3 linked regions of the Pelodiscus sinensis genome follow. The protein of the gene in region 2 purifies or fractionates together with the protein of the main gene of each other region. This does not show direct contact. Links are inferred from orthologs where the notes say so. Each region holds a gene or a part of one and is shown on either strand. Other genes may lie near its edges.

Region 1 (10,927 bases), on a different chromosome or scaffold from region 2:
TTTAGGCTGATCTTGTGTCTGCTGCTCATTTTTCGACGCTGAGAAAGGATATTGAGAAAGGTATGAAGAGTCACGTGGGAAAATCAGAGTACACGGGGTCCATAAAAATTAAGAAAAATTGATGGGAGAATGCCCACAAAGTACCAGACAAGCGCAAGGACTAAAATCTTGTAACCCTATAACACACACTGATGTTAAGGATTACGGGAGGACTTTTCCTGTTAGAAGACTCAAATCAGATTTCTCAGGTTGGACTCCATTATACACATTTACAATCACCTAGCAGGGTAGAAAAAGTACAAATGAAAGACCATGCAGTCCCTGCCATAAAGCTCTTACAATCTAAGAATGGCAGCAGTAACCCTTAAAACTAGGGTAGATCACCTGAAATGACAACTAGTGAGGAAAATGTGTATAGCTGAAGAGAGGAAGGAAAAGATTTCTTATTGCTGTGAAACAATGTTCATACAGATTTCAGTAACAGACCCAGAAAAACACCTCAGATCAGAGATGCGTTTTCAATATATGTTGCGGTTTCACCAGAGGTCAGTGCCAAAGTACCTGGCTGAACTGAGCTTGAAGACACCAACCTGACAGTGGAAGGCTTGGAACCTGTCTCCATAAGAAAAATCTCAAAGTGATTTTCATGCTCCCTAGGGCCAAAATAATAGTCACAGAGCTAGAACTCAGGCCTTTAGGGAGACCTTAACAACAACTTACTTGTTGAAGGAGGCAGATCTTTTATTCCTTCAGTGAGCATCCTGGAACAGCCTCCTATGCTCAGTCTACCACTGGAGAACGCAATACAAAGCAATGCGGAAGAAAAGACTCCAACAATCTGCCCCCAGCTTTATGTGAATCACTTATCACTGTCAAGTCTGCCTGTTACACCCATTGTCCCAAAGCAGCATTCTGATTGGCTGGTTGGGCTTTTTGATGTCACAGAGTATGCCAGCTCCCAAAAGTGTACAGCCAAGATCTCAATGAAACAAACAAAAACCCCCACTATACCTATTATGAGGATTGGGGGAGGGGGAGAGGAAATCAGCACAAGGACAGGGCATCTAGGGATAGATTACAAAAAAGTCAGTAGTTGTCTACAGGAAATATGATCCTAAAGGAGAGAAAAACAGTTTAAAATACCTCCTCTCCCAGTGTGTCAAACTGCCTTTTCAGTTTTGTGGGGCGGGCTGATTCAGTTCTAACATTTACACTAGAAAACTGGTTAAATAGGTAGCTGTTCAACAGGCCAATGTACAGGCAGTCCCCGGGTTACGTACAAGATGGGACTGTAGGTTTGTTCTTAAGTTGAATCTGTATGTAAGTCGGAACTGGCGTCAGCCGCTGCTGAAACTGATCAGTTTCAACCGCTGCTGAATCTGGATGCCAGTTCTGACTTACATACAGATTCAACTTAAGAACCCCAGGCGTCCCCAAGTCAGCTGCTGCTGAAACTGATCAGCGGCTGATTCCAGGAAGCCTGGGGCAGAGCAACTCTGCCTCGGGCTTCCTGTAGTCAGCCGCTGGTCAGTTTCAGCAGCGACTGACTTGGGGACGCCTGGGGCAGAGCAGCTGGGGTCCTGCTGGGTTGCTCGAGTAGCGCGGCTCCTCGGCGCTACTGGACCAACCCAGCAGCAACCCAGCTGCTCTGCCCCAGGCATCCTGAATCAGCCGCTGCTGAAACTGACCAGCAGCGGCTGAATCAGGATGCCTGGGGCAGAGCAGCTGGGGTGCTGCCTGGTTGGTCTGGAGCGGCGCTGCGGGACCAACCCGGCAGCCCCAAGCTGCTCTACCCCAGGGGTAGGCAAGAAAAGCCTGGTTGCTGGGGGGGGCACTAGCTGCACCCCCCCCCCAGCAGACCAGGGTGGCGGGACCGCCCAAGTCCTCCACGGCTTTGCTCCGTCGCCCTGGTCTGCTGACCTGGGAGACGCGGAGCAAAGCAGCAGAGCACGCGGGCAGCGGGACAGTCCAGGCACGCCGCAGCTGTCCCACTGCTGGTGTGCTCCGAGGCTTTGCTCCCCATCTCCCTGGTCTGCTGGTCAGACCAGGGAGACGGAGAGCAAAGCCTTGGAGCACGCCAGCAGCGGGACAGCCCAAGCGCGCCGCGGCTGTCCCACTGCGGGCGTGCTCCGAGGTTTTGCTCCCCATCTCCCTGGTCGGAAGACGGGGAGCAAAGCCACGGAGCATGCCCGCAGGGGGACAGCTCAAGCATGCCCGGGCTGTCCCGCTGCGGGCGTGCTCCGCGGCTTTGCTCCTGTCCCCCTGGTCTGCTGGGGGGGCCCAGCAAAGCCGCTGGACCCCCCCAGCAGACCAGGGAGACTGGGAGAAGCTTTTCTCACCCGGGAGGACACAGGTGGCGACCCGCCGCCCGTGAGCTCCGGGGCGAGAAAAGCCCTGTTCGTAAGTGCGGATCCGACATAAGTCGGATCCGCATAAGTCGGGGACTGCCTGTATATGCCACAGTCGACCAAAAGGAAAGCTGGTTGTTCTCTTAAAAGGAAAAGAAAATTAAGTGGCCAATTAGAGACAAAGAAGATTTTTAAAATTATTTGCAGTAAGAGGTATTTATAAAACATTTTCCCTGCTGGTTTTTCTTGTCCCTTTTGTAAGAATTTGCAAAGTAGAAACCCACAGATATAAATCTAAAAGGCACACTGTCTTTTTTTAAAATGGAATGTACATGTAAAGCAGTCATATGACAGCAATAACCCTTCCAGTACACTTTTTGGGTAGAGGAAGGCTCTCAGCCTTTGGCATTATACCACACCAAGCATCCGTGCACATTATATCAGCTTAATGTTATGTCTGTGCCATGGTTTACAATCATATTTACAAACCTCCTTGAAAGATACAAAACCTTTTTATAAGATTGTGAGGTTTTGATACTTGAAAGTTGTAAAAACTTTTTACAAAGTGTGAGATTTTAAGTGCATAAGTCAACCCTGAATGGGATAAGGATATTAAGAAGAAAATAAATTGAAGTGAGTGTCTGGCATTGGAAAAGGTTCAAGAAAAGGCAACAAAAATGATGAGGGGTTTGGAACGGGTCCCGTATGAAGAGAGATTAAAAAGACTTGGACTTTTCAGCTCAGAAAAGAGGAGACTAAGGGGGGATACGTTAGAGGCCTATAAAATGGTGTGAAAAAAGTGAATAAGGAAAAGTTATTTACTTATTCTCACAATATAAGAACGAACTAGGGATCACCAAATGAAATTAATGGGCAGCAGGTTTAAAACAAACAAAAGGAAGTTTCTCTTCACTCAGCGCACAGTCAACCTGTGGAACTCCTTGCCAGAGGATGCGGTAATGGCTAGAACTTTAACAGGGTTCAAAAAAGAGCTAGACAGATTCATGGAGGTTACGTCCATCAATGGCTATTAACCAGGATGGATAGGAATGGTGTCCTTAGCCTGTTTTTCTAGAGGTGGGTGACAGGGGAGGGATCACGTGAGGATTCCCTGCTGTGATCCCTCCCTCTCGGGCATCTGGTATTGGCCACTGTAGGCAGACAAGACACTGGGCTAGTTGGACCTTTGGGCTGACCCAGTCTGGCCGTTCTTATGCTCTTATACTATACACTGAAGGAAGATATGCAGCTTCCCACATGTAATTTATGAAAACTGTAACACATGGGCAGGGCTTGACAAACGGCGGCAAAAGCCACTCGCCAGTCCCGCACTGTGCATGCACAAGAGCCTCCGGTAAATGGGGTGTGCGGCTGACATCTACTCACCATGGGCGAGTAGATTCTATAGTTTGTCAAGCCCTGCGCATGGGAATTCACGGGCAATAAGATTTCTTAACATCTAGCTCACTTCCACGTTTCGTTTGGTTTGGACAACCCATCAGTCCTCAGAACAAAACCAGTATGAGCAGTGGCAGGAACATCGAGGTACACCATGCCAGTTCTCTATACTGCTAGGAGAGCGAGGAGGTGATGTTTCCTCTCCGCAGCCTGTTCAGCTGATCCCCCTGTGCCGAGGTGCCAGGGAAAGGGCTATTTATTAGGATATTTTCATTCCACACAGGCTAAACCAGAAGGCCGGGAGACACAAAGGCTTTCACTCACGACCCGTTTCAAACGCGTGACCTTGAGGTGAAAGGACGCGGAGCCCTTCACCGCTGCCCCGAGCATCCCATTCACCCTGTTTGCCAATCGGGGGCCGAGGCGCGTCCAGAACACGGAGAGATTCACGTCCAGGAAGCGGCTCGTGTTCCCTCCAGAGCCGCTTCGGGACCCGCCGCCCCCTGGGCCCCACGCGGGCTCGCCTCCCCGCACCGGCAGCTTCGCGCACGTGTCGGGAGAGGCGCTGGGGCCGCACAAAGCCCCGTCCCCGCCAAAGCGAGCGGCCGGCGAGGGACGAGGCCTAATCGCCCGCTGGCCCCGCAGGTCGCTCCCCGGGCCCCGCTGCGGAGACCGCGAGGGCTGGGCCCGGCCCGCCGGGGCTCGCGCGCGCTGCCCCCCGGCTGGAGAGAGGGGCGCCCCCCCCGCCACAGGGCTCGGCCCCAGCGCCTCCCGAGCTCACCCTTCACCATGGCGCCGACGTCCGGCTCCTCTTCCGCCCCGGCCGCGGCCTCGCTCAGCGGCCCGCCCGCGCACAGGCCCCGCGTGGCGCCGCCCGCTGCCGGCTCCGCCCGGCGGTAGCGGCGGCAGCGCCGCGGCCCGGAAGCGCCGCTCACCAGCGCCAGCAGGAGCCGCCTGGGCGCCGCCATCTTGCCGAGGCCGCCCACCGCCGGCTTCAGGCCGGGCAGGGGCAACGAGGCGGGCGGAGGGAACCCGGCCGCGCGCAGCGGCCCCTAGCGCGCGGGGCGGCGCACTGCAGGCCCGGAGGAGCAACAGCGCCGCACCTGCCCGCGCCCCTGCGGGACCCATGCGCGCGCCAGGCCCTGCTGGCCGGGGGCATCGCCCGCCCCTCCCCCGCTGCATTAAAAAGGTGGAGGAACAGGCTGAGAAAGCAAGAGATCCCTGCCCACCCCGCAGCTGAGGAACAAGCCTGCACTGACCCTGCCCACACCTGTTCTGAGGCTTAAGAGAGAACTGCCAGGTAGGCCAGTAATGAAATAGAACAATCCTCCTCCCCATTTTTATTTCATATCCACATCAGACATTGTAGGAATCTCATTTAGCATCCGCTCCCCTTGAGTGACCCTGGATAGGAAACCAACTCTTTGTTTTATCTCTGGATCGCATGCAGATCAGTCAGAAGCAACACAAGAGAGAGTAAGCTATTTCAACATGTAAGAGGATATATTCTGAATACTACGTGAGCCTCAAAACAACCCCTTAGGTAGGTCAGCATCACGCACTTTTTACAAATGAGGAAACCGACCCACACCGAGGTTTATGAGAAACTTGTTCATAAAGAGAAAAAGTTAGTGGTGCTGCATATGGTACCCAAAAATTTCAACTTCCGGCTACTCTCTTTTAAAATACATGTTAAAGGGACACTGCCAACTTTAAAAAAAAAATCACTTCTGATAACTTTGAAACTAGAAGACAAAAAATGCATTTGCAATTTTCTTGGTATTTCATGCCACTCTGTGTATATTATCACCAGTGAGGCCAAATTTTAAAAACGACTAGCCAAAAGCAAGCAAGCAGAAATATCTGACTCCAAGAACTATACCAATCAGCAGGAAAGTTCCCAAGCAGGTTTAGTATCTGAAAGTAATTTTTTTTAAATTATATATCGACCATACTTCACTTCTGCAGTTGTAATCAAACTTCATTATTTTACTAACACCTTCAATACTAACATTTGAAAATTAAAAAGTTATTATTTAGGTTGGTCACAGTCTGTATTTTTCTCACTTTGAAAAAAATGTTTGCTCAATTTTAACAATTAAATATTTTCAGCATAAGTTTCTTAATACTGTAACATGTGGATGTCAAGTACCCTGTCGCTGCAGGGATGTTTTAATCCTTCCCCCCATCAGAATTTGTAAATTATCAAAATATTTGAATATACATGAAATCTAACACTTTGGGCTACAATTAAATTGCAAGTGCCTATTTACAGTAGTGAATTGTTTATATGTTAAATTGTCATTCATTAATCAGTAAATACTTTGCTTGCAAACCAAGATTATACATTAGCTAATATGTAAAAAATCATTAAGGGAAGTAAGACTTTCAACAAGTATATCTTCGCAGGGAGCTAAAAGATATCTGAATGGTTACGTTAGCAAGGAAAACCACATATAAAAAAAACTTAACAAAAGAACAAGTGTATTTGGAAGTTTTGAGCACACACTAAATTACTTGACTCAGCAGATGTGCATCTTAGGATATTAAGCCAATTAACTAACATTCTACCAATAATAAATATTTCTGAAAAAATCAGGCAACAAGAGAGGCACTAAAAAAAATGCAGAACAGACTTTCAAACACAAATACTAAAGCCATCCTGGCTGTTTGTTTTCCTAAAAGTCTAACTTCTATCCCCAGTAAAAGAATTCAACAAATACTGAGAAAAGTACAACTAGAGTATGATAACCATAAGCAGTACATAGCATCAATTCCTACACACCAAATATAGCCAGACAAATTCACCAATTAAAAAATCTGGTAGATGTTATACTAAACCCCATGAACTCTATCTTGAAAAATTATTTCAAATCAGTTTAACTAGTATAATTCAGCAGAAGTAAAACTTCTGGGGAAAATAAAAAGCATGTGTATGTAGAAAGGGGATTAATGTTAAATGCTGAGGTATCCAGTTTATTTATTGAAAATCTTCATTGTGATCTTGAAGGAGTAGGATATCCATTAAAGCAGGGGTTCTCAACCTTTTTCTTTCAGAGCCCTCCCCAACATGCTACAAAAACCGCACAGCCCACCAGCACCTATAAAAGCCAGGACTGGCATTAGGACAATTGCCTGGGGCCCCACAAAGGTACATTGCTCAGGCTTCAGCCCTGGGTGGCAGAGCCAATGGCCCAGGCTACAACCCCAAGGCTGTCTAGACTGGCCAGTTTTTCCGGAAAATCAGCCGCTTTTCTGGAAAAACTTGCCAGCTGTCTACACTGGCCGCTTGAATTTCCGCAAAAGCACTGACTTCCTACTGTAAGAAATCAGTGCTTCTTGCGGAAATACTATTCTGCTCCCGTTCGGGCAAAAGTCCCTTTTGCGCAAAAGGGCCAGTGTAGACAGCTCAGATTTGTTTTCTGCAAAAAAGCCCCTATCGCGAAAATGGCGATCGGGGCTTTTTTGCGGAAAAGCGCGTCTAGATTGGTAGGGATGCTTTTCCGCAAAAAGTGCTTTTGCGGAAAAGCGTCCGTGCCAATCTAGACGTTCTGTTCCGAAAATGCTTTTAACGGAAAACTTTTCCGTTAAAAGCATTTCCAGAAAATCATGCCAATCTAGACGCAGCCCATGTGGCAAGGCTTCTACCTTCTGCCCTGAGCCTCAGCGAATCTAAAGCTGGTCCTGTTTGAGCACTCCCCTCAAACCTACTCCCAGCGGGCCTTGAACCTCGCATTGAGAGCCACCACATTTAAGGAAAATTACAGATGATACTAAGTTGTTTTGAGTGATCCACACTCGTGGATGCAGAAATAATAGAGCCCTAAAGAAATGAGAACCGTCGGTGGAGAATACAATAATGAAAAAATGTAGTTGTACATCTGGGGGAGGACTATAGGAAACACATTCAATGGGAGGAGAAACAGTGATGCAGAAAATAAAAGGGAGAGAGTGTTCAGAAAATTAGATATAAATAACAGGGCTAGTGGTTTGTCACGGTAAATTAGACAATAATTCTGGTCACAGAAAAAAGGCAAGAATCGATTTATGGAAAAAATGCCAGCAGTCACAGGATACAATATTTCAACCAAAATGTCCTTTATTTTGCAATGAAAAGCGTTTAACAGCATTTAACTAGTAGTTTAACACCACTATCCTGCTGCTTGTCAGTTCAGACTCAAAGCAGCGAGCTGCTGCTGCTCCTTCTTCTCTCCTACATGAGCTTTTGCAAAGGGGTTGGCAGCTTTGTACAGAAACTTCTTATCCAGCTCTGCCAGCTTCAAGACTTTCCCCAAAGACTAGTAGTGTCACAGAATCCATGAAGTCCCTACCCCAGTCCAGCCATGACAAACCACTAGCCCTCATGAGGTGATGCTCTCCTTCAGCCTCCCATTCAGCCTAGATTTTTACTTGGCATCTCAAGAGTTTCCCACTGAAATACAAATGTCAAATATCATTAATTTGTTTTAATTATAGAATTCATGACTACTGATGCGCTTTTTTTTTTTAAGCTTGACATTGAAACAAGAATGGCTAATGAAACGTTATGCCACCAAAACAATGAATCCGAGGCATTTCTTCCCAGAGCAGGGAGGTAATAGACCCTCACTATGTTGTACATGTCTGATACAACCTTACCGGGAATAATGGATTGAGTTCTGAGTAGCTCATTTTAAGATTGAGTAACTGAAGGATATTCAAAATAAGCAACAAAAAATGACCAGTGACTAGAGGGACTGACTTATGATAGACTAGAAAGAGCTAAATCAACAGTATGGCTGAACAATGACAAAAGGGGACATAACAGCTGACATATTTGAATTATGTTAACACCGCAGAAAGTACAAAGGATGAAATTTAAAAGGAAAAATGCAAACTAATTAGAACTAAACTGGATGAAAAATTAAGTAACACACTGTAGGGAACAACCCTGCATTGTCAGGGGGGATGGACTGGAGAACATAAAAATTCTTTTCCATCTCCAGTTTCTGTATTTCCCTGAAATGTATCTCTCACTGTGTTACTTAATATAAGTACAGGTACTTGTGACATTAATACTTGTTCAGACAGCTGTCCCAGCTAAAAAATGATTTACACTGCTGCATAAGTACTAGATACCAAACTATTATGGTTTGGAAACATTTACTTTTACAAGCAGACACAAATTTTACCCTTGGATGTGAAGCTCCCCTTGCAGTTAAAAGGAGTGACATAGGACCTAATTCTGTTTTCCTATGTAATACATAACTTCCAATGTGGCTACTAATTTTCTCAAACATCCTTCCTTTTTCTTTGTAGCACATGTAAGCATGTATTGGTGGCACAAACACTAAAATGAATGAGAAATAACTCACACTGCAAGGCAGTATGGCACACCTGTCATATCATTCAGCATAGAAAAGAATGGTAAAATTATTTATGAACTGGATATCTTTGTCCAGAGATCTAGTGCTATAGCTGATCAGTCAAGAAAAATTAATGGTGAGAGATGAGCGCATTCCCCAAATCAACCAGTCCTTACCTTTTCTACATGAATTCAGCGAGAACATCTCTGTCAAAGTGAAAAGATCTGATTCCTAGGAAAGCAAGAGGATGGAGAGACAGGAAGTTAGAATTTATATTCCTCTCCGAAATGTCCAAGCCTCCACTAACTTTTCTGATATTAACTATATATTAGATGAAGAATACAGCTGAAGGTTGACCAAATTCCAGTCTGAATGATTGCATTCTGCTTGGCTATAGTATCTATTATGTGCTGTCTTAAATTGCTGAATAAAGTTGTACTCTGTAAAACAGCTACATTTCTATCACTAATGTTACATTCAGAGATTGGGGGAAGTATTCCCTCTAAATATTAGTTCAAGTTTGTAAAAACTTTGGAAATTTGCAGGATGACAAGTGCTACTGATTTCTAGTTATTCACATTTTAGACACTGAAAGTCCCATTGAGATTAAATACAGTATTTTAGTATGGGGTTCTTGTGATCCCCACCTCTCTGTACTGTTTTTCTTAAGCTTGACATATAACTGGAAAAAATAAATTAACAGATGTAAGACACATTGAAGAGGCCTGCATTTGTTTGACATTTCAGGGTTTGTTTGTTTTTGCCCAACTCAAGTTAATAAATTAAGCTATTTTACTTTAAAATACACTGTCCTCAATTTGAACTAACAACATCTGATGGGGAAAGAGAAACATAAGGACAACAAAACATAATTTTAGAAATAATCTATTACCCAGGCCCACTGGTTCATTTTTAGAGCATTTTTGAAATTAGAATAAAAAAGATTTCATAACAGCATATTTGTGGGTGTTCCCATTCAGATAATACTATTATTACTACGCTATTGATTCCAGTGGTATAAGAACAGGCCTAAAATGTGTGTCTATTTTACATAGTGACTATGTGAAAATGGCACCTTTCTTATACAGGCAGTCCCCGAGTTACGCGGATCCGACTTACGTCGGATCCGCAGTTACGAACTTGGCACTTCCTCTCCCTGGTCTCTAGCAGACCAGGGAGAGGAAGCAAAGCGGCGGCGGAACGCGCGGCCAGCTGACAGCCCAGACGCATCTGGGCTGTCAGCTGACCGCGCGCTCCGCTCTGCTCCCCCCCCCCCTGCAGACCAGGGGGAGGGGGAGCAGAGCGGAGCAGAGCAGAGCGGCGGAACGCGCAGCCAGCTGACAGCCCAGAAGTGTCTGGGCTGTCAGCTGGCCGCGCGTTCTGCCGCTCTGCTCTGCTCCGCTCTGCTCCCCCTCCCCCTGATCTGCAGACCAGGAGGAGGGGGAGCAGAGCGGAGCACGCGGCCAGCTGACAGCCCAGACGCGTCTGGGCTGTCAGCTGGCCGCGCGTTCCGCCGCTCTGCTCTACTCTGCTCCCCTTCCCCCTGGTCTGCAGACCTGGGGGACGGGGAGCAGAGCAGAGCAAAGCCGCGGAGCCCGAGGGCAGCAGGACAGCCACGGCGCGTCTGGGCTGTCCCGTTGCCTGCGTGTTCCGCCGCTTTGCTCCCCGTCCCCCTGGTCTGCAGACCAGGGGGACGGGGAGCAAAGCAGAGCAAAGCCACGGAGCCAGAGGGCAGCAGGATAGCCACGGCGCGTCTGGGCTGTCCCGCTGCCCCCGTGCTCCGCGGCTTTGCTCCGGACGCCTGTGGTACAGCAGCTGGGGCGCTGCCGCTCTGGG
Region 2 (10,448 bases):
ATTTCCCTATTGCGATCTCTGAAATTAACATGCCCCTTCCGGAAAGCCAATGTAGACGAGCCCTTAGAGTATAATTCAAAGGCTAGGGGAAGACAGGCATATGATGTAGCAGCCATTTTCTCCCACTGGTTATTGACTCTTCTATCTGCAGCCCATCTTCCCCCTCTTCATTTTCAAGCCTGATCCCGCATGTGAGTAGTCCCATTTGCTTTAGTGAGACTATTCACATTCTGAAAGTTAAGCATATGTATGTTTGCAGGTCTTATATTTTTAAGGGCATGTAATATCCATTTGTATTACCCATTGATGCTGCTAAACAAATGTAATCAGTAGAAATAAATATTAAAAGAGAAACATGCAAAAGACTGAGTATCCTTTTAACACATTTCCATTTGGAGAAGGGAAGACGGATACCAAAATCTTGTCTAAACTAACCACTCATTTCTGCAACATCTTGCTGCTGAATCTACTATACTGTTCTACTGTTCTGCTCTGTGTATGGAGGGGGATAAAATCTGCCACATTCATTTGACAAAAGAGAAGAGGAAAATGTCTGGCATATTTTCTTTGACTCGTACATAATTCCAGCACACTCTTGTGTTTCAGAATTTACATGGAGGAGTGAAACAAATAGCTGATTTTTTGGGGTTCTCTCTGCCTGAAGAGAAGATTCAGTCTATTGCAGAGAATGCCACCTTCGAATCCATGAGCAACAAATCCCAAGAAACACATGGCAAATTTGCTCCCATGCTTTTCAGAAAAGGTACTTTTATATGGAGTGATGATAGTCATTTCAAGGCCATGAGCTCTTGTGATGGGGTGGACTAAGCCCTGATGCCCCTACAGGAGGCTAGAGTCCTTGCCACACCCCCTCCCAGCGAGAGGAGCAGAAAAGAGGTCCTCCAGGCAGGATAGAATGGCTATCTTTATGGCAGCCAATCAGGACCCAGCAGTCCGGTATAAAAGAAGCTGCTGGGCTAGGGCCTGGCAGTTTTTCACAGGAGCTCAACGCAGGCAGGTTATACATTGACTTGGAGACCAGCAGCACTATAGACAGCTCCGAGGGCAAGCTGAACTTAGACCGTGGTAAGGCCCAGGTCCAGTGACCGAAGACTGGCCACAAGCTTCCTACAAGAACCTTGAAGATGACTAAGCAGAGACCTTATGCGGCACCCCTTTACCACAGAGGGGCACTCACAAGCGGGTGGACCCTGTTACGGCACCCCCTCCACACGGGATGGTCACTCTGCAGAGGGGTGCATGGGGGTTAGGAGAGCAGGGAGGCTCATCTGCAGGCTGCAGCCTCAGGACAGCCAACAGGAGGTGGCAAGCAGCGCGAACATGGGCTGGAAGGGTTCAGAGGAGTGTGGGACAGCCCCACAGCTGGCCAGAGAAAAGCAGCGCTCTGAAGTGGGAAAGTGCTGCTTCCCTCTGGCCGTAGGCTGTGCAGCGACCCAGTGTTCCTCTGAAGCCTTCCAGCCCGTGATCATGCTGCTGGCTGCCTTCTGGTGAGTGGTGGCTGTCCACAGGTTGGGGAGAGTGGCTGGCCGTGGTTGCCCGCGGTGGGGATGGGTGTGGCCAGGGGATGGAGAGCCCACAAGCTGCACAGCTCGCAAGAAAAAGCAGCAAGTTGAAGCAGTAGAGCATTGCTTCTCTCTGGCAGCTGGCTGCATGGCTGTGCTGCCCCCTTCTCCTGAGTCCTCCCACCCCTGTAATGTTGCATTGCTGTTGGCTGCCATTTGGTGAGTGGCTGCTTCCCATGGGCATGGGGGAGAGCGGCTGGAGGATGGAGAGCCTGGGGTGGAGGACTGGTCAAGTGGCCAATGGACCCGGGTTCCCCCCCTCCACACACACCTTCAGGTGGATAAGTTTAATAAGGACCCTTCACCTGTGATGTTATAATTTATTTCATTGTTCATGTGCAGGTGGCATTGGAGATTGGAAGAACCTCTTTACTGAAGCTCAGAGCCAGAAAATGGATGCCAAATTTGAAGAGTGTTCAGCGGGAACTGAACTGGGAGCAAAGCTAAAATATGATAAATACTGCAAATACTAAATCTTAACTTCGTTCTGATGCTACATTATCACGTATTTCATTGCCTTTCACATTTGGGAATGCATAGATTCAAATGATTTAGACTTTCACAAATGAATTTGCAAAATAAAGAAATAATGAGAACTCAGTAAATAATGGGCCAAATTCTGCTATTAGGCCTATATAGACGTGACAGAAGCATTTAGCTGAATATGTAGAACATATGACTAGTATATCAAAGTTTCTGTGCCTATTTGAGATTTTTTTTTCTTAATCTGCCATTATTTCAAACTGAGCTCTGCTCTAGATCCAAACTTTCTGAATGCTCTGGGTGTTAAACACCTTGAACATTTTTTTGGATGATCAGCTTCAGTAGTTAATTTGGTCCTAAACACATCCTATGTTTTCTGTGGCCTTGTATGAAATTCCTTTAAGGTATGTCTACACAGCAGTGTTACTTTGGAATAACTGACGTTATTTTGAAATAACAAAGTGTGCATCTACACCGCAATCTGTTATTTTGAAATAATTTTGAGATGGAAGACTTCTTATTCTGAGTCCTGTAATCCTCATTTCACAAGGAGTAAGGGAAGTCAACAGAAAAGTGTTCTTCCTTTGACTTCCTGCTGTGTAGACAGAGCCAAAAGCCAAATTAAGCTATTTCGACTTCAGCTACGCAATTGACACAGCTGAAGTTGCGTATGTTAATTTGACTTTTGCCCTGCACTGTAGACATGCCCTTAGAGTTCATTGATTTGAGCTGATGGTCAGTATTCATCCTGGCAAAAGGTTAAGGCAGAGTGTCTTCGGGTTTTGTCTGGTGTTGTTTAATATGATTATTGCTGACAAAAAAGGGAGGTGAATGAGGTAGCAAAAGTTGCCAATTGAAGTAAGGTGTTGATGTTAGTCATGTTAGGAACATGAAGCGATCTCAACAAGCTAGAGAAAAAAACCTCTCCTTTCCCTGATGGTAGAATATAACTATGGAGTAATTTTTAAAAAGCTGTTGAAAGAAGGCCCTGGTCATACCTGACTGATGCTTCTGCAACTATAGAGACTGTTATGGAGTCACCTCATTCTGAAGAGGGCTCTGGGCACAATACTTTAGCTGGTAAGAGATGTAAATGGGAGAGGTCTGGGTATGAAAATAGTGTTGATATTCGATAAAAATAGTGAGTAGAAGTCCTATGTCAGAAGCACATCTAGTGGTGAAGGAAAAGGGGGAAAAACATTTCCAGCCATCTTTGAGGCTCTCTCTTATAGGAGTTCTAGGGATGCAGCAGCACCCACTGGCTGAATGTGGTTTACATCATATACAGGGTTTATGTTTTTTTTCATTGGTTTTCAGCACTCGCCCACGCTATACAAATTGTTAGAGAGTTACTGCTCTAATATCAAAGGGTCTCAGGAGTGTTACACAAATAAATTAGCAATAGCTTTAGGGGGCAGTCGAGTTAGTCTATAACTGGAAAAACATGCAATGTTTTGTCATCTCTGTGTGTTGGTACCAGTGATGTTTGCCTGTGTACTGCTACCCTCTGCTGGACAGAAACAGAACTACCATGTGTGACTACTGCTAAATCAAAAAACAAGACTATGTAGCACTTTAAAGACTAACAAGATCATTTATTAGGTGATGAGCTTTCGTGGGCCAGACCCACTTCCTCAGATCAAATAGTGGAAGAAAATTGTCACAATGGTTTATTAGGTGATGAGCTTTCGTGGGCCAGACCCACTTCCTCAGATCAAATAGTGGAAGAAAATTGTCACAATTGTGACAATTTTCTTCCACTATTTGATCTGAGGAAGTGGGTCTGGCCCACGAAAGCTCATCACCTAATAACCATCTTGTTAGTCTTTAAAGTGCTACATAGTTCGGTTTTTTGATTCAGCTACACCAGACTAACACGGCTACATTTCTATCACTGACTACTGCTAGTTTCTCAAATTCTAAAACTAAAATGTGTAGCAATGGACCAAACTTAGCATTCTGTCTCCTGGGAGTGGGGGCTGGGACTGCATGTCCTGGCTGGTGGCTTCTCCCATGGACTGGGGCTGCAGTCCCCAGCTGGTTGCAACCTTCAGCTTGTCTGGGGAGATGCTGGGGTTCCACAGGATGGTCCCAGCCTCCGGCTCCCCCCTACCTCCATGCTGTCTGGGGGGAAGGCTGGCCTCAGCTTCCAGCTGTCCCCCCTCACACACCCTCCAATGGGGGGGAGGACTAGGCTGCAGTCTCCTCAAAGGAGGGGACTGAGCCACTGTTTTCTGCTTCTCCTTGGGAGAGGATGTCTCTTCTGGGGGGTCATGTTAGGTTAAGTTTAAGAGTTATTTCGAAAGAAGGGTTTTCTTTAAAAATAACTGCGTCTAGACAGCGTTTCTTTTTTCAAAATAGGGTATTTTGAAATAGTGCCCGGACGCAATTATGCAAATGAAGCGTGGGAAATTCAAATCCACACTTCATTTGTAATTTCATTCATCTGCATTTGCATTCCTCTCTCGAAAGAGGAATGCAGTGTAGACATACCCTACTCAAGCCTAGGAGGGAGTGTGACTTGATGCCACCCTTTGCCTGGAGAAGCAGGACAAAGGCTGGAAGTGGGGCCAGCTGCAGGGCTGATAGAGGCTGTTGAGTGCAAAAGTTGGACTTGCTGGCTTGGGGTGCAGAGATGGGGGTGAGGGCCCTTGCTGGCTTGGGATGCAGAGATGGGATGAGGGACTCTGAGCACCCTGTCCCCAAGATGGATTGTACTGACTGCTTCTGGTTTCCGTGCTGACAAGTCTGTTCTATGCTGTATCTCTGTCAACTAATAAACCTTTCGTTCTGTGGGCTGGCTGAATCACATCTGACTGTGGATGAGGGGGAGCAGGGCCCCAATGACTTTCCTCTCCTCAGTGACATTTGCATACCAAATTTGGTGGCCCTAGCTCTTGTCATTTAGGAGTTCTTGAACAAATTGACTCACAGATGGACGGACTCACAAACAGACTCATAAAAGCTCTAACATATATAGATAGGCAGGTTTAATCTTAAGGGACCCTCTTCCTACACACATACTATGAATGGGAGATATAGGAGAGTGTTGCTCTTGGCTGCTGTGCCCATCCATTTTGAACACATCTTCTCGTCACCATTTTTACAGACGTTAGCGAACTTTCTCATCCTTCATTCCTTAATGTAAGTATGGCAACTCTAATATTTGATTAACTTCGCTGACATTTGTCAAACTAGGCTTACCCAGCATTTCCTGGGTCTTTCAGGGCAGAAGGCTGGCAGTGCGGGGAGTGTGGCAATTGGGGAAGTGCCCTGAGTATGTGGGGGGCTCAGGGCAGGAAGGCAGAGGTGAGGGGTGCAGGAGTCAGGGTGGGGGCTTGAGGAGGAGTTCAGGCAGAGGGTTTGGGATGCGTGAGGTGCCAGAGTGAGGGTGAGGCGGACAGAGGTGGGGATGCAGGAATCAGGGCATGGGGTTGGGAGAAGGGTGAGCTGAGGGGAGTAGGAGGGCTCAGGGCAGAAGAATGCAGGTGGCTGGCTTCTCCCCAGGGGGGCGGGCTGGGCTGGCAGGGACAGTACATCGTGCCGCCAACCTGTCCATGGGACAGGAGGGGGCTGCACACCCCGTCCTCCTGCTTCTCTGCAGACTAGCGGGGGGGAGGGGAGCGCACCCCATCCATCGACTTGTCCTGGGTGCGTGAGGGGGAGGCACCATCCTGCTTGCTGGTTTATTCCTGGGGGCTGGGAGAGGAGGCAGCAGGTTTTCGCCCTATCTCCTTCCCCAGCCTGGGTAGCCCGCAGGGGACTTTCCCCCTCTCCTCTGCTCCTTCTGGGGTGGGGGTGGAGGGAGAGCCGGCGGCGGGAGTGGGGGTGGGAGTGGGGCTTGCGGGCGCTCAGAAGAAAAAGGCTAAAGGAAGAAGGGCGGGCGCTGGGCCCGGAGAGAAGCGGAGTCAGAGCAGGGAGAAGCAGGCGGCTGAATTTGGGGGCTTGAGGGGGGGAACCGAGGAGCCCTGGGCCCGGCTGCTCCGTGAAAGGGGAAGGCGGGGCGAGGCTGGGCTCGGGCTGCCTAGGAGGGGCCGCCCCAGCCCGCCTCCCCTGCTGGCCCGCGGGGCTCCAGCCACCCGAGGAGCAGCCGGGCCCGCGGGCGGCGGCGCCTGCTTTTGGTTTCGATTCCGGCGCGGAGCCGGAGTGGGAGGAGCGAGGCGGCCCGGGGAAGCCGCCGCGAGGAAACGAAACAGACGGGGCTGAGCTGCCGCCACTTCCAGTCCCTTGCCGCAGTGAGCGCGGGCCGGCCGGGGTGCTGCGCGGCTGGTGAGTGGCCGGGCCGGCGGGAGGGCTCGAGGCGGTGCAAGCTCAGAGGGAGGCCCCGAGGGTGGGGTGGGGGCGAGTGACCCTCAGCCGGGCAGGCTCCTGCAAAGGGTCGAGGGGTGTGTGTGTCGATGACCTTGGTGTTGGCCCGCGCCGCTGTGCTGGTCCCTGCGGACCCAGACTGGAGAGGGAGGCTGGGGGCAGGGGTAGGAGGCGGGGATGAGGTAGGGTGCGCTAGTGCTGGGTCTTTTCCTCTTCTTCCCAGAGCCCCCTCTGGGCTCTAGGACGCAGAGTGTGAATTGGAACAGGCTGGAGCTTGACCCACACAGCCAGGGTTGGGGTGATCACGATCTGGGCTTCTGGTCCTGTTCTGTATTGTATATATGGATATGCTAAACCTGGCATTGCTATCTCTGGAAACTGAAAAAAGCCAAAGAGCGGACTTAGCATTATACTTGGCATCCCAGACTGCAGCTGTGTGACAACATGCCCAGGAAATAGGAGCAGTGCTGGGGACTACCCGGAAGTCACCTGTCAAGGGAAGGTGCTAGTGACTTCTGTTCCCCTTACAGGTGCAAAGTATAAGTCCCAGGACAGTGGCCAGCAGCCCTCTGAGTAGAAGTGAATGCAGTTATTGCTTTGGAAGTGACAAACTGCGGGGAAAGGAGAGGTATGCTTACAATTCATATCTCTGAAATACAGGCCAATAGGTACCCATTCACAACAATGGATTTGAAGTCCTGCAGTTTTGAAAAGTTTATAATATTGAAAAAGTCATTTCTACATCCAAGGGAGTACAGGGAGGGAGAAAACAATTTGGATATATAGTTACTAGAAGACTTCCCGGATGTTGCCTGAGTCTTTCAGGGCAGGGGGTTGGCAGTGTGGGCCTGGTAGGGGCTTTTGCCCTCTCGGGGGCGGAAGCCTGACGGGGTCTTTTGCCCTGTCCCCAACCCCTCCTGGGGCTCAAAGGGGGAGCTCAGCAGGGGCTTTTGCCCAGTTTCTCCCTGGGCACCAGGGAGAGCCTGGATGGGGGCTTTTGCCCTGCTCCCAATCTCTCTGGAGCTATCGAGGGGGGCTGGCTGCGGCAGTCTCCCACTTACCTGGAGCAGTGGCAGGCAAGATGATGAGCCCTGTCACCAGCTAGCCACTCATAGCAATGGTACAGCTGCTTGCAGTGATCATTCTACAATATGGCTCTCCCCTGTGCTCTATATCAGAGGAAGCAGTTTGGGGGAGCAGATGGAAGCTGGTGCTCATGGAGAGCCAGCTTTTCAGAGCCGCACCTCCCCTCCCCACAGGTAAACATGTAACCACTGAAAAATTTCAGCAGTTACATGTTTACAAAAGAATGTACTTTTTATCATTCCTACTACTGACACATTATTCAAAATTTGCTCACTCTATATTTTGATTACAAATATTTGCATTGTAAAATAAACAAAATAAACTGTATTTTTAGTTCACTTTATACAAGTACGGTAATGCGATCCCTACAGTCAAAACCAAAACAATGTAAAACTTAAAGTCTACAGGTCCACTCAGTCCTACTTATTGTTCATCCAATCACTAAGACTAACTTGTTTGTTTACATTTATGGGAGATAATGCTGCTCTCTTCTTATTTACAATGTCACCTGAAAGTGAGAAAAGGCATTCCTATGGCACTGTTGTAGCTGGTATTGCAAAATGCCATATATGCTAAACATTTGTATCCCCCTTCGTGCTTCTGACACAGTTCCTGAGGACATGCTTCCATGCTGACAATGGGTTTTGCTTGATAATGCTCCAAAGCACTGTGGACTGACACACGTTCATTTTTGTCATCAGAGTCAGAAGCTGTCAGCAGAAGATTGGTTTTATTTTTTGGTGATTTAGGTGCTGAAGTTTCAGAATAAAAATGTTGCTTTTTTAAAGACTTTAGACCACATGTTTCACACCTTGTCCCACTCAGATTTTGGAAGGCACTTCAGATTCTTAAACTTTGATTCGACTATTGTAGCCATCTTTTAATATCTCATATTGGTTCCTTCTTTGGCATGACATACAATTCTCCCCCCAAGGAGTTCAGTCACAAATTTAATGAATGCATTTTTTTTAAACAAGAGTCATCAGCAGGAATGGTGGTCAAAGAATGAAGAAGCATAAGAATGTTTTAGCAAGATCCACAAGACACCAGAGGAACAAGGGATGCACTCCACCCAGGTGCTTCACCAGAATGGACTCTGGTTCTGTAGCCTTGTGGTTCTGTATTCCCAGGACTACGTATTCTCTGCTGCTTTAAAAAATTCACATACCTCAAGCTGGGACAATGCTGGTTACGTATGCTATGTATCTCACGAACTGTGTAAACCTATTCTTATAACTTCCCATAATCTAAGCTTGACCCCAGATGTATAGTGCTTTCCTTCTTAATTAGTGTGATGTGAACTTTATTTGAAACAGTAGCTTTAATGAAATTTTTCTGTCTGGCATGTAAATAGCTTGCAACACTGGCTACTAAAGTATCAGAGAAATGTGTGTACTCACTTTCAAGTGACATTGTAAACCCTAAGTGGATAGCATTATTGCCAGTGAATGTAAACAGATTAGCTTGTTTTACCAATTAGCTCAGGAAGAGTGGGATTGAGAGAACCTACAAGTCCAAAAGTTTTACATTGTTTTGTTTGAGTGCACTTATACAATAAAACACACTGTACACTTTTTATTTGTTGTTTTCCTGGCTTTTTGTTTGCTACTTTACTTAAAAAAACCCCCTTATAATATATTTCCCCAAATTACTAGAATTATCTCAATTCAGATTCCTAAATCTGTTACTCCAGTGAAAACTAAAATCTTCAAGAAACATGTAAAAGTCAATTACTCTCCTTTCTTAGTGCAAAGTAACAATCTCTTTTAACATATTGATGTTTCAGTTTCATATTCTGTAGCTTCAGGAGCAGATTCAATTAACCACTAAGTTTCATATTATGCTAGTGCCTGATTAGGGTTAGTTTGTACTAGACACTTTAAATACATAAGAAGATATAGGCTCTGCCCTGAGAAGTGTTTTAAATAATAAATGACAAGCAACTAGGTTCTATAATTTTCAAGATGAATGATTTTTACCTACAACAAATATTTTACCTACAATAAATATTTCTGTCAAAACACATCTAATGATTCTCCGCATTTGTAAACATCTTCTGACTTTGCTCCAAAACCCTTAGACAATGTGGGCTGCCAGTCTTGTTTATGTTTTCATTCCCTAATGCACAAATACTCAAAATGCAAGATTTAGTCAAAATTTTTTTTGCCTTACAGGTTGTGCCAAAATGGCAGAATATAGTCCTAAGACACAGTTGTACAAGGGCAAACTTCATGAATATTGTCAGAAGCATAAGATTCAACTTGATTATAAGGATGTCAAAGTAGATGGTCCTCCTCATGATCGTGTGTAAGTTCATAGTATGTGCTGATAAATACAGCAACTTATTTTAATGAGAGAAATAAAGTGCAGTGTAACCACTGCTTCATCTTAAATGGAGATAGCAGCTCTGAAAATACACCAGGATAAGGCCTGTAGTGTTTGCAGTGCTCACCACAATAGTGTGCAGCTGAGTGGGGTTCATGGTTCTCTGGAGATTATGTATGTGCCTTTTGAAAAAAGGCCTGAAATATTTTAGTCTGCAGATTAAACCAGGGGAGAGAGAAAACTGCATCATAGATTGTTAAAGCCTATGTTTTAGTCCCATGGAGATTGCCAGTCCTTCCTAAAACTCCCTGTGGTGAGCTGTACTGTGGGATAGCTACCCACAGTACACTGCTCTCTGCCTTGATGTAAGCGCTTCTATTAGGATGAGCTCCACTGACAGAAGGAGTGTGGTGTGGACATGCACAACCAACTTAATTACTACAGTAGCTGGGTGTCAGTGTAAGTCGACCTAAGTTTGGCTTGCCCTTCGTAAAGGAATGATGGAGTTGCAGACCAGGGATGGATGTATTTTATTTATGTAACCAATGATACGTCTATACAGCAGGGCAAAAGTTGAATTAAGCTACACAAGTTGAGCTACGTCAATTGCGTAGCTTAAGTCAAAATAGCTTAATTTGGTTTTTGGCACTGTCTACATAGCAG
Region 3 (10,714 bases), on a different chromosome or scaffold from region 2:
TCACTGTTTTTTTCCCCATTTATCATTGCCTATTATAGATGACATAGACAAGAGCCATAAATGTGCAAACAAGATGTATATTTCAGCTACGTCAACAATAATTTGGTATTTTTTTTTACCCTTGAAATTTCCCATTGTTGATGCAGCCTGTGCAGTCACACAGTGGGAGCACTAGTTTAATCCGGCTTTTGAATCATAGAAATGTAGGTCTGGGAAGGACCTCAAGAAGTCATCAAGACCAACCTTCTGTTCTGTGGATGGTGTTTTTACTCATGTCATTCAGCCTTGCCGAGAATTGGTTTAGTAGTGAATAGAGTTATCAAAACACTGGCAAATAGACTAGTGGTAACTTCCTATTGGAAAAAGACAAATAGTCCAGTGTAGGGGAATAGCTGAAAAAATATGGAGGTGGTTGTTCTGGAAAAACTAACACACCAATTACATACCAGCAAAATAGAAGACAGATACTTAGCTATTTGGTTACCTTTTATTCAATACTCAAAGTACATTCACCTGCAAAAATAAAAACAACAAAACATGCCCACAAGAACCATGCAAACCTGTCCATTTTTAAAATATTAACATCTGATAGACATGACAAGTTTGTTAAATAGGTGTATTCAGAGAATTCAGTCAATAAAATCACTAGAAACAACATGTCATGGGTATCATAAAGATGCTCATTCTATAACATGGTTAACGTCCTGTTAAGTAGAATGATCCAATGATTATATTAGTTTCTCTTAACAAAATTTCCTTGTGGTGGTAATTATTGTGTTGTCTCTGATAATTATATGGTCAAGATTGTAAACCTATTAAAACTCTCAATGAAGATATAGGTTTCATTAAAAAAGTTACTTGCCACACTTGAAATGTCTGTTAACTCTTTCATCATTGCTACCATTGGTGGAGAAACAATAATTGGAGAATCCTTAGTATTGTATCAGACATAGCCTAGCCAAGACTATTTCCTATTTTTAGTACAGAACAGAGATTTCACTCTTACTCCACTCCAGTTCCATTCCTGGGGCTGCTGGTGTTGGCTGCCCAGCAGCTGCTTGGGTGGGTGGGTGGGATGGGGCAGGGGGACTTGGAGCCACCACCCTGTGCTGCCCAGGCGAATGCTCTATCCCCAAGTCCACTCTAGAACCCACCCCACCTCCTTATCTTCAGCAGGTCCCTTATCCTGCCTTCCTAATGTGGGAACCAGGTCCATCCCTGGGGCAGCCTGTGTTGGCTGTCCCACTGTACCAGGGCGGCTTGAGGGAGAGAGGGGACTTGAAGCCATCACTCTGGCACCACAAGCTGACAGTCACCTGGGTCAAGAGTTTCTTTTTCAGTCTGTTTTTGCAGAATGCAATAAATGGAAAGTTCTTATATTGTGCTTTGTTTCAAACATTTTAAAAATGTATGCCAACAGCAGAAAAATATAAAAGGGAGAAAATTTGGGCCCAACATTTTAGGATGATTGAAAAAGGAATTTACAAAACATGCATAAATGTTTTTATGAACTTTTAAACATACAATTGAAAAGTGTTTAAATATTCTTCAGAACTGATGATTCTAAACATAGCAGCTCTGTGCTGATGCTCAAAACCAGTAAAGGAAAACTGACTAGAAAACATGTATAAGGTAAGCTAACATTGCAAATTAGGGATGTAAGGGAGTAGTCATGTAGTCGAATAGACTACTCGCATCCCCCCACTTTCTGCCTGTGAATAAGTGGGGGGAAGCAGGAGCCAGTGCTGGGAGGAGCCAGCTTAAAAGCTGGTTCCCCCCAGCACCGTCTCTGCGGTGCTGCCCATCCCCTCCTCACTGCTGCCTCTATCAGAAGCAGATGGGGGGGGGAGCGGGAGGTCCCAACTTCCCACTGGGACCCTGCATGGACAGGGGCTGCTGCTGGCTGGGCAGGCATCCCAGCTCAGTCCTGGCTCATACCAGTGCTTGACCAAATCCTGCTGCAGCTCTGCAATTTAAAAGGCAGTAGGAGCTGGGGGTTAAAATACCCGCCTTTTAACACTCCTGTTGCAGATAGTGAAAATAAATAGTTTTAAATCAATTCACATATCTTAACTGATTATACAGACTCTGGCTACATTAGAAAGGTACATGTGCAGGGCATCCAGTTACTACAAGTTGGACCTTCCTGCGCTGGCACCCTCAGGACCTGAAAGAGAGTTTGCCAAACTAGGGGAGCCCCTCTGCTCACAGACTCCAGGCTCTCCATAGCCAGCCCCAGGGCTGCAGGGACACTGCTGCCCCAGGCATGCTGGGGTCACTTGGTCTCCACAGCCACTCCAGTGATGCTGGGCTGTTGGGCTCTGAAGCACGGGGCTGTCGGACTCCGCTGCCCGGAGAGGGGAGTCTTTGGTCCAGGAGTTCTCTGGTCCAGCAACATCGGTGGTCCAACCAAAGTGTCCCAGACCAGGGTGGTTCAACTTGTACAGTGTTAACTCATTACATAATGAAAGTAAAAGTCCCAGCTTGCAGCACAGGCACATGCATAACTATGTTTGAAGCATCTACAAATTGTGCTAATGCCTTAAACACAGCTTATTGTCCTGGTTAAAACACACAGGTCCCCCAACTAGTTTGCAAGATGGGATGCTGCTATAACTAATGGGTTTTACTGTATTGAACTCTGACATAACGGAGTGTGTTGTACAGTGTAGATTTTAAGATTGTTAATGAGTTAAGTCTCTGAGCTATGTTTCCGTAGCTGTGAAAACAACAAGAAGTCCCGTGGCACCTTAAAGAGTAATAGGTTCATTTGGGCACAAAATCATTTTGTCAGATACATGCAACCCATCAGGGTTCTGTGTGTGACTCATGAGCCATTTTCTTTACTGTAGTCCATGATTTTGCTAGTTTTCATTTTATTTTTTTAACTACTGTTACTAAAGTGACATGGACTTAAAGTAAGGGAACATAAAATGAGGTGCATGCTGATTGCACACAACATTGACTGTGAGAGCTGTACACACCCTCTGCATTCAAAGTGCTACTATGGTTCTGTGGTTTGTACATACTGCAAATTCTAGGAATACAAGTACAATTAGCAAAAATACCCTATCCTGAAATCATCTTGATCACAATCTTGTAGCCCACTGAGATGAAGGAGGGCCACTCATGCAGCCCACTCACTAGCCTAGGTTGCCTATTGCTGTTCAAAAGCTTTTTCTGTTTCACAAACCTTGATCCAATAAAAGATACTATCTCATCCACTTTGTCTCTGAAAAAAGTAGGAACCAACTGCCTCCAACGTAGACACAAGATTTCACAGAGTAGTCAGCAGGGGTCACTTCCTAATGACACATGCGGTGAGGACTCCTGTGAACCTTATAGACTAACCAAAGTGTTGGAGCATAAGCTTTCATGGGCAAAGACCCACTTCGTCAGATGCATGACACATGGTCATTTCAACAAAAAATTACCCCAGAAAATTATAGGCAAATGCCCAAACCCAGAAAAAGTAAATTAGCTTAAGAATGCAACTTGATTTTCTATCAACATTTGCATTTTAAACCCCAATTTGTCAGAAGAGATGTGGGTAATAACAAGGGTGCTGAGAGCCTTTGAGCCAAACTGTAAACCCTCTATGATGGAAACTACTTCACAACAGGGCATGCAGCAGCAGCCTTAGCACCAATAGTTTCAGTGATGGTGAGATATATATGGTTTATTCTCCCAAACAATGGAAAGTCAAAATATGATGCAGCTTGGTAGCTATGCTAAGTGTTTACACTATATAGTTTAAATCATTTACATTTCATTTTTTTTTGTGGTAAGTTTCATATAAATTATGAACGAGTCAGACTAGATCTAGTTATACAATGAGGTTTACCAGTTATTTTGAGAGAAGGGTTTTCTCTCAAAATAACTGCATCTTCACAGCATCTGTTATTTCAAAATAGCGCCATAACACGAATATGCAAATGAAGCATGGGATATTTAAATCCCAGCTTTATTTGCAATTTTGAATGTCTTCATTTGCATCCCCCTATCAAAAGAGGGTGCAAGTGTAGAAATACCCTGTGTGTATGTGTGTGCACCACAGTTTCTCTGGGCACTGCACTGGTACCCAGCTGGTAGGGGAGTTTTGGGTGTGACTCTTACTGAGGGAGAGTGATAGAAATGTAGCTGTGTTAGTCTGGTGTAACACTCTCCGCGGGGGCGGGGGGGAGCTGAACAAAGACCCCAACTACCTTACCCATTACAAAGATAGCTTCCCCAATTATCACCTCTAATATCATTAACTCACAGATATTTACCTTCCTTCCCCCCCCATTCCCCTTCTGTTCTGAAATGTGATTTGTCCTTTTCATATGTGTTCATTTTTTTAATTGTATCCTTTGGTATACAGGCAGTCCCCGGGTTACATACAAGATAGGGACTGTAGGTTTGTTCTTAAGTTGAATCTGTATGTAAGTCGGAACTGGCATCCAGATTCAGCTGCTGCTGAAACTGATCAGTTTCAACAGCGGCTGAATCTGGACGCCAGTTCTGACTTACACACAGATTCAACTTAAGAACCCCAGGCATCCCCAAGTCAGCTGCTGCTGAAACTGATCAGCGGCTGATTCCAGGAAGCCTGGGGCAGGGGCTTCCTGTAGTCAGCCACTGGTCAGTTTCAGCAGCTGCTGACTTGGGGACACCTGGGGCAGAGCAGCTGGGGTGCTGCCGGGTTGGTCCAGTAGCGCCCAGAGTGGCGCTACTGGACCAACCGGCAGTGCCCCAGCTGCTGTACCACAGGCGTCCGGAGCAAAGCCGTGGAGCACGGGGGCAGCGGGACAGCCCAGACGCGCCGTGGTCTGCAGACCAGGGAGACGGGGAGCAAAGCAGAGCAAAGCCGCGGAGCACGCGGGCAGTGGACAGTCCAGACGCGTCTGGGCTGTCCGTTGCCCGCGTGCTCCGCCACTTTGCTTCCTCTCCCTGGTCTGCTGGAGACCAGGGAGACGGGCCCCGTTCATAACTGCGGATCTGACGTAAGTTGGATCCGCGTAACTCGGGGACTGCCTGTATATGGTTGTGACTATTTTCTTCCACTATTTGATCGGAGGAAGTGGGTCTGGCCCACGAAAGCTCATCATCTAATAAACCATCTTGTTAGTCTTTAAAGTGCTACATAGTCCTGTATTTTGTTCTTACTGAGGGAGGCTGCCCATGCCAGCACCTACACAATGGCTTAGGCTGTCTTGTAACTTGAGCCTAGGTGGGAGATGCAATCAGGTGACATCAGGCAACACTTTTTGCCATGGGGAAGTTGAAGAAAGGAGGTGGTGGGGCTGTCTACAGGGCTGGGACCTGTTGCTGATTGTGTGAGTTAGTAGGCTGGCTTAGGATGCAGGGAGGGAGCCTGCTCCGGGGGGCCCCCTCTTCCCAAATTGGATTATACTGACTGCTCCTGATTCCCCTGGTAATTACAAATCGGTGCTATGCTGTGTCACTGTGAAGCAATAACCCTCTGTTCTACTTGCTGGCTGAGAGTCACATCTGGATGCGGAGGGGGGGGGGGGGGAGATGCAGGGCCCAGGGACTCGCCCACACTCCATAACACAGGTGTTTTCTTGAATTACTTACACCACTTTCCCCCCTAGCCTTGCGGCTGTTCCTGCCCCGAGTGCAAACAGGCTGCCTGAAAGCGCGCTTGCTTTAGCACAAGGTGGGGAGAGGCGGACCCAGCCCCGGGCCTATCTCGATGGGGACCCTCCATTAAATGCCGGGCGTTGCGAAATGGTGGCTGCGAACCCAACGCCTGCCCCCTCCCCGGGAGCCGCCCCGCGGCGAAGCCTGCTCTATCCCCAAGGCAGTGCCCGGGGACGCCGGGGCGCGCTCCGGCCTGTTGGGCCCGGGTGAGCCGGGCAGGACGGCGGGAGCGAGCGGCGGCAGAGCCTGCGGGGCGCGCTGCTCGGCGCTGGCGCTAGGGGGCGCTGGCTGCCACCCGCCAGCCCGGCGCCGCGCGGCGCAGGGGAAGGGAGGCGGACGGGGCCATTAGCGCTGCTGTGGCGGGGGGGAGCGGCGGGCTGGGCGCTGCGCCGGGAGCCTCCCCGCCGGACTCCGGGGGCTGCGGGCGAGTGGCAGCGGCCTCGGGGAGCCGGGAGGCGGGCGGCGAGCCGGGCGGCGCGCGCGGGGGGCGGCGGCTGGGCCGGCGGCGGGCGCGGGGGGGCGCAGTGGTTGGGGCCGGCGGCGGCCGCGGCGGGGTCAGTTCTCTTTAGTGTTTGCCGATGTTGGAGGCGTCTCCAAAGTGTCCCCGGGAACCAGGTAACCGCCCCCCCCCCCGCCCGGTGGCCCCGAGCTTGGAGGGGGGACGAGCAAGGGGCTTTGCCGGGCCCGCACCGCGGCACTCGGCGGCGGGGCGGGGGGAGCCGCGGATCCGGGCGTGGGGGGGGAGCTGTTGTCTTCCCCCCCTTTTGCCCCGGTAACGCGGCTCCCTTGGCGCGGGGCGGTCCTGGGCCCCCAGCGCTGAGCGCTGCGCCCCCGCCGCCCCTGCTCGCAAGGGCCCCCACATCTCTCTCGGGGTGCGATGCTGCCGCCGCCTCCCCCCCCCCGGTCGGGAGTTGCCCCGGCTAATGTCGCTCCTCTCCCAGCCGGTCTCTACGCTCAGACCGCGCTCAAGTGAAATGACTCGGATTTTAGCTGCCCTGCGCGGAATAAAAGCCCAGCTATTGCAGCTGTTGAGGTGATAAAATAGGAGACTGATTATTTACTGTGGAAGTACCACTCGAATTGCGGCTTGGCTGCATATTGTATCAGGCCTGTATTAAATTTGTGAAGTAGCTTTTTATGGCTAGAGCAAGCCTCTTTTTTTCAGTGTGGCTTTTTGAGCTTTTCATTGGCCATATTTTAATTCAGCATGTTTCAGATAACTTATAAAAGATCATTAGCTAATCATGACGGATTTTAAACATTCCATGTTTAACTATTACTGTAGAGCAATACAAAAAGCCTTACACTACATTGTATGCTGCATAGCTGCACAACAGATTAAAAGTAGTGTTACTGTACTCAGATTTCACCTACAATTGTAAACTTTCTTAACAAGCCTGAACTTTCTCCTGCCCCCACAATAGACTGACATTTTTCCTCCTATAAAATGTTCAACTTTGAAACCCTTAACTCTGAAATTTTGTGTTACGTGATTAGCTTTGAAGTCAATAGTACCAGAAGTTAGAAGGAGAATTCACAGCTTTTTTTAAAGTGCTGTTGGGCAGTATTCACCCCAAGTTACTCACACTTTTGCCTGTGTAACCCAGGCATTGGGGTCCCCTGTGGAAGAAAATGAACCATGATGACAGCAGTGCAAAGCCCTCACAAATTTGTTTTGCTGGGGGCTGCACTGGTTGGTGGGGGCTGGACAGTTACCATCACGAAGTTGAGAGGAGACCAGTCTAGAACAGCTGGGAATTGTTTTGTGCTGGCATCCTCTGCTGGTAGGGCTTCTATGAAGACCGTCTCAGGAAGACATTACCTGTTGTCTTCTGAGGGTGAATTTCCCTGCAATGTGGCCAGATTGGAAATGGAGATGTATGGTGCAGTTAGTGATGCTCTTCTTCCCAGCAAATTGTTTCTTTGGGTCATATGGATAGTTTTCTTTGCAATTTTTAGGATTAAAAATGCAGATCTTTATGCTGTCCATGGTGAATATACAGAAATAACTATACTATCAGAAGGCTTTGCTTTCATGAAGGAAATTGTCACAGGTATAACTACATACGTACATAAGAGAGTACAGATTAAAGACGAGTAAACTGAAGCAAAATGGATTTGTTGATTTATCTCAGGTGTACACAGATTAATCTGCCACAGTGTAAATCCTGCTCTGTACTGGTGCAGTGCATTAGAGTTGGCCTCTGTGCAATTGCAGTAATATACCAGTGAAAGTTTTCTTACTATAGAGAGCTGCTTTTTTTTTTTTTTTTTTTTTTTTCTGATTAGGGTTTTTGTGTGACTGTAGGGCTTACCAAAGGTGCCAGACATTCTGATGGATGAAGGCTTTTATTTGAAGAAAGCTGGCAGCAATGCAAGATTTCCAGTGCTGCCCACACGATGAATCTTAACTCTGCTTTGAAGGGATGTGCTACAGCAGATCTCAGTTCTCATGCTCATTTAGAGCCCTCTGGAGATATCCAACACTCGTGGATATTGGCCACTAGAAACTGTATTGATGCCACTGCTGCATTTAACATAAACCATTATTCAGCCAATGCTGCTAAACAATTTATGCTAGTTTCAGATTATCAATTTGTGAAAGGCTTTATAAATCTCTTTACTAAGCTGAATAACTGAGGCCACATCTAGACTTGCAGGAAGATCAATGCCTGCGGTGGTCGATCTTCCGGTGCTCGATTTAGCATGAGGAGTAAGGGAAGTCAATGGGAGGCTGTCTTCCATTGACCTTGCACTGAAGTTTGGCTGAAGGTACATTGACTCCACCTACATTATTTATGTACTTGGAATTGCATACCATAAGCCGACCTTCCCCCATAGCATAGATCTGGCTTCAGTCTCCCCAACAGTTGTTTCTATTAATAATAATAATAATAATAATAAACAACAACATGTTCTTGAGTAATCTTTTATTCCGAAATCTGAAAGTGGTTTACAAAGATGAATTGTTACCCCAGTTTTACCCCTGAAATACAGAGAAGCTAAATGATGTTCCCAAGTTAACACATTATATCAATGGCATAGCTCACATAAACTGTTCTTTGGAGCAGAGAACATAGGCTTGACTTTCCTCTCTTTCCAGTTTTATAAATGTGACTTGTTGACTTCTGTGGATTTCCTCCTGATTTACACGGTTCTAAATATGAGGCATGGATCACGTACTGTCTTTATTTATAAAGTGGGATAGTAAGTGAAAGGTTACAAAATGAATCAGTGGCTGAGCTAGATCTTTGAATTCTAAGGCTGCTTCCCTAACTATGCAGCACCTATCATACTTCCTCTAGATAGTTTGTTTCCCTGCCTGAACTATGGCATTGAAAAGAAGAAATCTATTCTATTTTGTCAAATAGAAGTGTACATTTACAATCCTCTCCTTTTCTGCCAAAAACCTTCTTTGTACAATACCTAGTGTAATTGTGAAGCAGACTTTGAGTTGTAGACCAAATGTTTTCTAACAGTTGTACGTGAATGAAGGGTAGGGTGGCCATTTACCAACTCTCCAGGATTGTCTTGGAATCTCCAGGAATGAAAGATTAATATTTAAAGATTGTTGTGTGATTAAATCTCCAGGAATACATCCAACCAAAATTGGCAACCCTACTGAAGGGCTGCATACTTTGTTGCTTATGTAGGCTGATCTGGCAGGTGGCAGTGAGAAGGACAGGAATGTGTAATAACCTGTAGCAGCTATACAGGGTGCTTCCATTAAGGCTTCATTTTACTGTTAAGTCATCTAATCTGCTTCTCTTATTCTCTTCATTGTCTGTTATTGATATGAAACTGATTAAACAAAGTGAATGCCCTGCTTGACCAATAACAGTTGTTTGCATTTTTATCTTCAGTGTAGTTTATAAGCTTTATTACTCATCCTTTTATGAGAGAGGTTCAGATTTAATGACTTGCTTAAAATCAGTATGAGATACTATCAGATCTAAAATCAGAACTCTGGAGTTACTGATTCACACTCCTGTGTTCAGACTACCTACCATTCCTCCTTTTTTGTTTTGTATTTTACTATATTATGCTTGCAAATCAAGTGGCTGATGGTTCTGCAAATAGAAATTCCAGAATCATTTGGGCTTTGATCAGAGATGGCAGCTGGTTGCATATTTTGGGCTTACCTTCATTAATTAATTATACCTTTTAAGATATACTGTTATAGTTGAATCAGTATATCCCCTTAAAGTAGATGGAATTATATTGGTATGCAGGTGCTTTGTGCCAGCTATACTAGTAATATGTCTCACTTATACCATAGTTTCCACAGGCAGGTGGGATCATTATGATCATCTAGTGTGACTTGTGTAACAGGCCAGAAAGCTTCCCCAAAATAATTCCTAGATTTTATCTTTTGGGAAAACATCCAGTCTAGATTATAAAAATTGGTAGTGATGGAGAATCCACCAAATTCTTTAAGTGCTAGTGGTTCATCAAACTCACACTAGGGGTGTAAAGGTGCACCTACACTGCATCCTTACCTCGAAATAAAGTGCTATTCTGACAAATCCTTTAACTGTCGTGGAATATGGGTTATAGGGATGCCGGAATAATGCACCCATTATTTCGAGATATATTTTGAAATAATGGGAACATTTAAAGATGTGGAATAGCTATTTCGGGATACTTCCGGTATCTCAGAATAGTGCCGCTGTTTAGACGTAGCCTAAGAAAGATGTTGACTATCCGATAAACTTATTGGGTAGTCGAGTCAATTGCTCGCATTCTATTCTTCCCTCTTGCTGCCTCTACATCAGAGCTGGTGGGGGGGGGGGGAGAGGAGGAAGGCTGCTCCAGAAGCAGTTCTTGTCCATGGTGGTCCCAACTCCCCACTGGGACTTCTGTGGACAGCCCCTTTCTGCGGCAAGGCACTGTGGTCAAGGGCTGCTTTGCAGGCAGGAGTTCCTGTCTGCAGGGGGCTGCTACTGGCTGAACAGGCAGCCCTGCTTAGTCCCAGCTTATGCTGGGACCAAACCCCGCTATAGCTCTGCAATTTAAAAGGCAGTAGGATCCCAGGCTCTTACTGTTTTTTTAAATTGCACAGCCACAG

Evidence for each region. The genes of interacting proteins can lie anywhere in the genome.
Region 1: the proteins of EIF2AK2 (region 2) and DHX30 purify together in Homo sapiens (affinity purification with mass spectrometry; 3 studies listed by BioGRID and IntAct, with this or other methods). This does not show direct contact. The link is inferred for Pelodiscus sinensis from reciprocal best matches to the Homo sapiens genes EIF2AK2 and DHX30.
Region 3: the proteins of EIF2AK2 (region 2) and STAU2 purify together in Homo sapiens (affinity purification with mass spectrometry; 3 studies listed by BioGRID and IntAct, with this or other methods). This does not show direct contact. The link is inferred for Pelodiscus sinensis from reciprocal best matches to the Homo sapiens genes EIF2AK2 and STAU2.

The regions. Positions count from the first base shown.
Region 1 is NC_134712.1:256,902,409-256,913,335, reverse strand, and holds the start of DHX30 (ATP-dependent RNA helicase DHX30), read right to left. Parts: upstream 4,739-10,927; 5' UTR 4,715-4,738; coding exon 4,528-4,714; intron 935-4,527; exon of another isoform or gene 761-934; coding exon of another isoform or gene 721-760; intron 1-720.
Region 2 is NC_134713.1:137,312,697-137,323,144, reverse strand, and holds the start of EIF2AK2 (interferon-induced, double-stranded RNA-activated protein kinase), read left to right. Parts: upstream 1-6,103; 5' UTR 6,104-6,335; intron 6,336-6,904; exon of another isoform or gene 6,905-7,002; intron 7,003-9,634; 5' UTR 9,635-9,645; coding exon 9,646-9,767; intron 9,768-10,448. Other genes in the region: sulfotransferase 6B1-like, read left to right, coding at 607-763, 1,926-2,056.
Region 3 is NC_134712.1:53,730,041-53,740,754, forward strand, and holds the start of STAU2 (double-stranded RNA-binding protein Staufen homolog 2), read left to right. Parts: upstream 1-5,976; 5' UTR 5,977-6,070; intron 6,071-6,112; exon of another isoform or gene 6,113-6,261; intron 6,262-10,714. UniProt on the Homo sapiens protein: RNA-binding protein required for the microtubule-dependent transport of neuronal RNA from the cell body to the dendrite.